Coturnix japonica: one gene and its partner. The protein of the gene in region 1 interacts with the protein of each later gene in a pairwise test. Links are inferred from orthologs where the notes say so. Each region holds a gene or a part of one and is shown in the gene's direction. Other genes may lie near its edges.

Region 1 (4,322 bases):
TTTATTTACAGGTGAAGGGAAGCTCTCACTCAGCTCCAGGCGAGGAGCCAAAAGAAACAAACCAAAAAGGAACAGAGACCTTCATCTCTGAACAGAAATTGCTGCACCCCCCGGAGCATCCAGTTACCTCCGAGGGTTCCCCATTGCCATCACTCCTTTTTTCCCCTCAAGGGGGAACAGAAGCCATGATTTCAGTGCCTGCACCACTCAGCATTGCCATCCCATCAGTACTCATCCAACGTGTCAGCCCTGGGCACCGCCAGGCCTCTCTCCTTCAACGCCTGCACCTTCAGCTTCTCCGACTCCTGCTTGGCTTGCAGCTCCAACCTTTGCTCCTCCAGGATCTCCTCGATGGAAACCTGCTGCAGCAACGTGTCGCTCTCCTTCTCCAGGTCCTGCAAAGCAAAGAGCTGTTGTTAAGCAGAGCTGCAGGGTGAGGGGCTGCAGGGCACGGGGCTCACTCACAATCTCCCCCAGCAGCACCACGTTCTCCCCTCTCACAACGAAGATCCCTCGAGGGATGTCCCCATATTTCTTGCCCACGTGAATTCGCTCCACTGTCTGATGCAGCACCAGGTTGGCTGTGGGGATAGAGAAAAAAACACCCCGTTTTTAACCAGTTTTTTACCAAAACCACCCAGTTTTTCACCAAACAGAGCACCTCACCTGAAACAACCCATAGCCTAAAGCATAGGGAGCAGCTGGATTGCATTATAGCACTATAATCCTATATGCTGAGCATCCCCTAAACAACATGATCCCCCAAACCCAGCCACTATAGGACCCCAAAGCAGCCACTACCTATAGCTGATAAAGGGATCCCTGGTGCTATAGGGTAAAGAATGAGGGGCTCAGCTATAGGCACAAGTGAATGGGGAAGGGGGGAAAGGGGGGTAGGGAGAAGAGGGGTAAAGGGAGGTAAAGACTGGGGGGCTCAGCCATAGGCACAAGTCAATGGGGGGATGAACTTAGTGCTGCCCTAAGGGGGGAATATAACATGGGGTGGGGGTCCAACATGACAAGGGATGGGGGAACCACAAACTGGGTTCCTATCGGAGCCATATGGGTTCTATTAAGCCCTGATCCGGTGTCGTTCCCGGTGCTGCCCCCCCTATCCCCCCCCATTATATCCGTACCGAACTGATCGATGCTGCGTAGGAATCCGATCAGCGTCCGGCCGTCCCGCAGCAGAACCAGGTGTTTCTCTATGGGGAAAGGGATCAAGCGGGGGTACGGAACATCGGTCCCAATGGGAACCAAGGGGAAAACCGGGGTCCCCCGCGTCCGGGTCCCGGTTTTCCCCTTGGTTCCTTATTGAATGAATAGAACCTCGGTCACACTCACTGTCAATGTCCTGGATGAGGCTTGCAGTACCCGGCATGTAGTTCATGGTGGCGGAACCGCCCCACGTTGGGCGGTACTTAGCGATGCACTGTCCCTTTAAAAGCGGCGCCGGTAGTGCGAGCGGGGCTGCCTTTCATTGGTTACATCCAGGGGTCCTCGCATCCTATTGGTCGCATGGTGGGGGCCTTTTATCCTTGTGTCGCGCTGTGGGGTGGGCTACAGCGTGCCGGGTTGAAAACATGGAGCACCGCGGTCGTACCGGGCAGGTAAAGGGGGGGGGGGAACCGAGCACAGCCCGTTATCCCGTTATCACTGCTCCATATAATGGGGTTTTTCCTTATAGGAGCCACCAGGCCCCGGCTTCAACCCCGGTTATTGGAGCCCAGCGTTCGGTTTTGGGGCCTACACCGACGGAGCGGACTCGGTATGTTGGGTTTGGGGGATGAGGGTCCATTTCCATCCCCCTCCCGTCCATTAAGGCTTTGACCGAGCTGTGCTTCATTTCTATGCCATAGGATACAATGGGCTTCAAGCCCCACTTGTTTCCTACAGCTCAGTACAGAAATAACCCATTAAATATCCTAACACACATTTCAGCTCATTTTCTTTCTCTTTTTCCCTTTTCTCCTCCCCAGGCTATGGACTCACCCTACACCAACGGATCCTACAGCGCCCCATACCCTCCCCATTACACCTCACTGCCACAAACACGAACCTACAGCACTTCAGGTCCATCCTACAGCACCGACAGCTCAGCCCCATATCGACCCCCCCCTCCTGCCCCTCCCTGGGGCTGTGGCACACAGGACTGCCCAGCAGAGGGATGCTCAATGCGCAGGCAAAAGGCTGCTGGGTATTCCCCACCGCAGGTAAGAAACCATTTAGGGTGTGCACAGCAAAGCGAGAGCTCCTGTGCTGCTCACCCCATAGAGGGTGAACCCACAGTGCACCCTAATTGGGCCCAAATGGCTTCTATGTCCCACCCAGCTCGCCCTGCTTGCTCTTGTAAGAACTTGGAGTTGCCCCTTTCTGCTGGGAGCTCTGAGGTCACGAGCTTTGGAGCAGAAAGCAGCAGCAGTCCCAGTGCTGGGGCTCATCCCAGTGCTGGGGCTCATCCCAGAGCTTCCTTCTGCCACAGGCATTGGGAGCTGACTTAGGACTTACATCTGTCCCCCTCTCCCCACAGACCCCAGGGATGCCCGTTCCTCAGTATCCATATGGAGACCACAGCCCCGGGGCCAACCCACAGCCCAGGGCTCAGGAGGAGGCGTGGGCTCCCCCTCACTATGGGGTGCAGGCACGGTATGCATGGCCTGCAGCTCCAGCACATGGGAATCCATTCCTCTCTGAATCACAACCACCCTGGACTGGCAGCAGGACTGCAGCTCATCCTCCTGTGTGGGACTCGAAGGTACAGTGATGCTTTAATGGCTCTGACACAAAGATTCTGGCTGTAGCCAGAGCTCAGCTCATGCTGCCTTCCCCCGCAATACACACATGCAGCTGCTCAGTGCTCCTTTCTCCAAGCACAGTTTGCTTCCAGGAGACAAAAACAAAGCAGCGGTTCTAAGTACTGCCAGCAAAATCACCTGCTTATATATCCAAACTGCCATTGAAGAAAGCACTGGAGATAGCAGACCCTGAGAGGCGGGTCTTGAAGTGGAGCAGATCTCATTTAATGCCTCTGTAATGTAGACTCTTTTTTTTCCCCTTCTGATTGTAGGAATCTGCTTATGACAAACCTGATCCGAGTGCAAACCAACACTGCTACTATTCTGACAGCAATCACCAGCACCCTGGGACAATGAATGACCACAAACCACCCTCCCTGCTGCATAACTCCAAGTCATCTCCCTCCAACCCCAAGGTACAATACAGTGCACAGCCCCAGATGTACAACAGTGCAACTCGGAGGCAGCTGGCTGGGAACCAGGAGGCAGGTTGCAAAGCTGGCAATCACACTGCAATGAATTCTGCAGCCATCCAGCCAGAGATACAGAGGATCCTACAGGTCACAGAGCAGGCTGAAGAGTTAGAACAAGAGGTGGATGAATTTGTAGGGAAAAAGACAGATAAATCCTACAGGCTTCTGGAGGAGATGCTGACCAAGCTGCTGTTAGAACTGGATTCCATTGAGACTGGTGGGCAGGATGGTGTCCGACAGGCCAGGAAAGAAGCTGTCCATAGAATTCAGGCCATACTGGAAAAACTGGAAAGGAAAGGATTGTGAAAGCAAATCAGCCACAATGCAGCCTGTTGTGGAGGTTCCAAAGAGTTAATCCAAATCTCAGCTCTTTCTGCTAAGCACTACTGATAATGAGAAAGCAATAAGACTTGATTGAAAAGAAGAAACAACCCTAAACCCACAGGAAAGCCCAGCCCCGACCAACAGCTCAGCATTGGACCAATGAAGAGAAGATGAAAGCAGCAAATTGAGTTGTTTGCTCTGGGATGTGAAGAAGCAGCACCACCTGAAGGTGTTTAGCACTGGGTTGTCTGTGTCCTTCATCCAGCAAGAAGAAAATCACTGCACAAAGTTCCCCAAACCGGGTCCAAATCCACCCAAATCCATGGTACCTCGTGGAGCCACAGCTGCAGCACTTGTCACATGCATCACCATAAATGAAGGTCCATCAGTGCGTGTGCTTTCAGCTTCAGATCCCTTACCCACAAAAGCTGGTTTGTGTCATCCCGGGGTTCTCTTTTTGTTTCCAATGCGCTCCCTGTAGCTCTGCTGATGTGAAGCTGTTCTGTGATGCCGTGTGGATGTGGGAACATAGCCTGGAACTCTGAGTTTTTCACCTGGAAAAGCCAGTTGCAGGCAGAGCCGTGCAGCCCTGGACAGTGGGAGGTGCAGAAAATGCTTTTTCAGGTCGCGTGGGTCAAATCCACTTTTTAATTGTAACGCCTACTGGGTGAACCTGGTTACGACATGCAAAGCGAATCATTGCTGCGTGTAATGAGATCATAATAAACCC
Region 2 (2,901 bases), on another chromosome or scaffold:
GACTTGCTGTTTCCCCACTGCAGTAGTACTACTGTAGATTATTCTATGTACACACCAGAGTTAATTGTCTTCCGCTTCAGTTAAATGCCCTTTACTGAGGCTTTCAGCCCTTGGGAGAATTGGGTGTTAAGCGTACTGACAAGAATCTGGAGTGGATGTGGATTAATAACCTCTTCAGACCCTTGCCTGCAGCTCTTCAGCTCATCATAATGCTGGCCATGGCCTTCTGGGGATAGACTCCAGTTTCTTTTTGTTGTTTCTTTTTCCAGTTCTCGGGGTTGATTGAATCTTTTTAATGATGTTTAGGGCTTGGGAAATGGCTTCTGTTAACACAGCAACCTTAGGTATCTTACTCTCACCTTGTTTGAAGCAGCTGAGAAGGCTGCTTGCTGTTAGAGTGTCCTGGAGAGTGCTCCTTTCCTGTGGCAGCATTCAAGATTGATCTGAGCTATTCAACTGAGCAGCGAACTTTGTCCTCCTGTACCATGAGATTAAATTGTATCAGTAGTTAACGTGATCTTCATATTTTCATGCCAAGGCAGTTAACTTCTTCTGGCTTTAACTGTTATTTCACACTGTCATTTTGTTATACTGAAGACTGACTTGATTTCTAGACATCTGAAAGAGGAATATAAACAGAAACTGGTCCCCTACTGTACTGGCTCCTGTTCCAGAACTCCCCAGACGTCAGTATTTCCTCTATCAGTTGGTCACTTCAGTTTCCCAGCTCCTCCTTTGCACTTCTATTGCTGCTATGAAGCAGCTGTTTCATTCAGTTCTTAGGCTTGTTTTGCATATATTTGCATAATCAATTGAAAAATCAGATTAACAAAATCATCTTTCCAAGGTAGATGCGGTTTTGGCTACACACTAAGAAGCTGACAATTAGGTGAGCCTTCCAGTTATTTCTAATATTTAACTGGTTAATGTCCGAGCCAAATCAGCAGCCCTTCTGGGAGTGAGCTGTTAGCTGTTCTTGGAGAGCACACACAGATCCTCTCTTGCGTTTAAGTGGATTGTGGCCTTCTCCAATGTGCTGAACAGCAAAAGAGTGTGAATTGGCAGAAGAGGAACCAGTCCTTCATTCATTTCAAAATAGGGATTTGCATTTCCCATTTTATTCCTGCTTACAGCAGACAACAATACTCAGTACTATAGAAGAGCAGGGCTATGAAAGTGTGTGTGCAAAGTAGCTGGGTAGCAAGCAGGAAAGTCAGTTGGAGGCTGTAGTTGAGGGAAGAACTGAGGTGGTAAGAAGAGAGCAACGCTTCCAGAGTTTCTGTATAACCCAGAGTTGAAATCCTTACTGCCTTGTTTATCTCAAGTTGTTCCCCTGCTTTGCTGCTTTGATTTTTCAGGTCCTCTCAGTACTAAATCAGACCTAACCTGTTGCTGTCTGTCCTTCCTGAGCCTTTAAGACAAGGCATTATTTAAGACTGAGAAAGGAGTTTCTTATGCACGGTTCTGGTACTGCATCCTGTATTTAAAACATGCTTGATTCTCCTCTGCTGTCAGTGGCAAACCTGGAAGGTTTTAAACAGCTTCGCTCTTCTGGGACTGTTTAGACTGTGAAAGCCATGTTCTGCTGGGCAATGCTTTTTAAAGTTCCTTTAAGCTGCTTGGATTGCTGGGAGCAAGTTGTCCAGTATATTGTACATACATCTAACTTGATTAACTTAAAGATGCAATATTGATAACAACCAGTTAAACTCAAGATATATTCTTTACCCTCAAAACATTAAAGAAAAAATAATGCTAAGATAGTTACTTATTGAAATGACTTAGAATGTTCTGGATGTGTGTAGAACTCTTTTTGCTCATCTGCTCTTTAATGCCATATCCTTTAATTTCAGATACGAAGGTCTTGCAGTATTATTTTAATCTGGGATTGCAAGTAAGTGCTTTTAAAGCGAGTACAGTAAATTGCCTGTAAAAACTGCTGCTTTTCTTGACAGGTGTACTGATGTATTTAAGACTTCCAGGTGTGCTAAATGTGCATACTGTGTAGATGACAATTATTACATATAGGCTTGCTTGGAAGCGATTAAAGTATAGGTCAGGAACAACGTTCTAACTCAAATTGCAAAGCACATTAGTGTGTCTGGTTGTTTACTCCGATTTTTGTGAAGGATGAAGAATAAATATTCTCTCAGCGAGGGTAAAGGGGAAAATGGAACTACTGGGAAAATTTGTCTGCTTAGATGAGATATCAAAGGCTGTTTGAAGATGGATGGTTTGAGTCCTCTAGGATATGCACGGCTCAGACCAGTTAGCACCATTCCTTTGCCTTGAGAACCATTGCTCTGCTAAAGAGCACTGTCTGCAACAGTTGTCTGTGCACCAGCAGTCACGGGCAGTGTCAGTGCTGGAACTCTGAGGAGTAGCAGCAGTGTGCCAGATTCTTCAGCTGAACAAATGGAAAAATCTCCTTGAATATGGCAAACTCCCTCTTAATAAAACAGGATAGAACTGAGTTGGTAGTTGGAGCTATTACAGCAAATTTTCTGACACTGTGTGCTTTATTTTTTTTCCTCCTTCATATATAACATCATTGTCTTTGATATGAAACTACTGGTGATTTGGAGGAGGGATGGAGACTATGTGGTTCTATGCCTGACCTTGTTTTCTTGTTGTCTTTCTCCTCAAAGTACTATCACCAGAGTTACTGGCATTCCATGGTCTATGTACAGCCAGTGCCACCAGCATCATCTGTGGAGGCTTATTCAGCATATCCTGAGCCAGCTCATGTCATGGATCAGTCGGTACCTCATCTCTACGATGCTGGGCGAGCTGAGGTCCAACATGTTCCCCTTGATGTGCCTGCAAATGGTTAGTATTTGACTATAAGACCACATACAGAAATTGTGAAAAGTGAGGTAATAGCTTTCAGACTACAGCTGC

The links.
Region 2: the proteins of BAG4 (region 1) and ALG13 interact in binary tests that used the Homo sapiens proteins (3 or more experiments, as listed by UniProt). The link is inferred for Coturnix japonica from reciprocal best matches to the Homo sapiens genes BAG4 and ALG13.

Annotation. Positions count from the first base shown.
Region 1 is NC_029537.1:3,645,455-3,649,776, forward strand, and holds the start of BAG4 (BAG family molecular chaperone regulator 4), read left to right. Parts: upstream 1-1,388; coding exon 1,389-1,610; intron 1,611-1,687; coding exon 1,688-1,768; intron 1,769-1,979; coding exon 1,980-2,213; intron 2,214-2,530; coding exon 2,531-2,755; intron 2,756-3,067; coding exon 3,068-3,574; 3' UTR 3,575-4,322. Other genes in the region: U6 snRNA-associated Sm-like protein LSm1, read right to left, coding at 225-395, 466-581, 1,137-1,205, 1,345-1,390. UniProt on the Homo sapiens protein: Inhibits the chaperone activity of HSP70/HSC70 by promoting substrate release. Prevents constitutive TNFRSF1A signaling. Negative regulator of PRKN translocation to damaged mitochondria.
Region 2 is NC_029519.1:12,426,483-12,429,383, reverse strand, and holds part of ALG13 (putative bifunctional UDP-N-acetylglucosamine transferase and deubiquitinase ALG13), read left to right. Parts: intron 1-1,853; coding exon 1,854-1,894; intron 1,895-2,648; coding exon 2,649-2,829; intron 2,830-2,901. UniProt on the Homo sapiens protein: Catalytic subunit of the UDP-N-acetylglucosamine transferase complex that operates in the biosynthetic pathway of dolichol-linked oligosaccharides, the glycan precursors employed in protein asparagine (N)-glycosylation.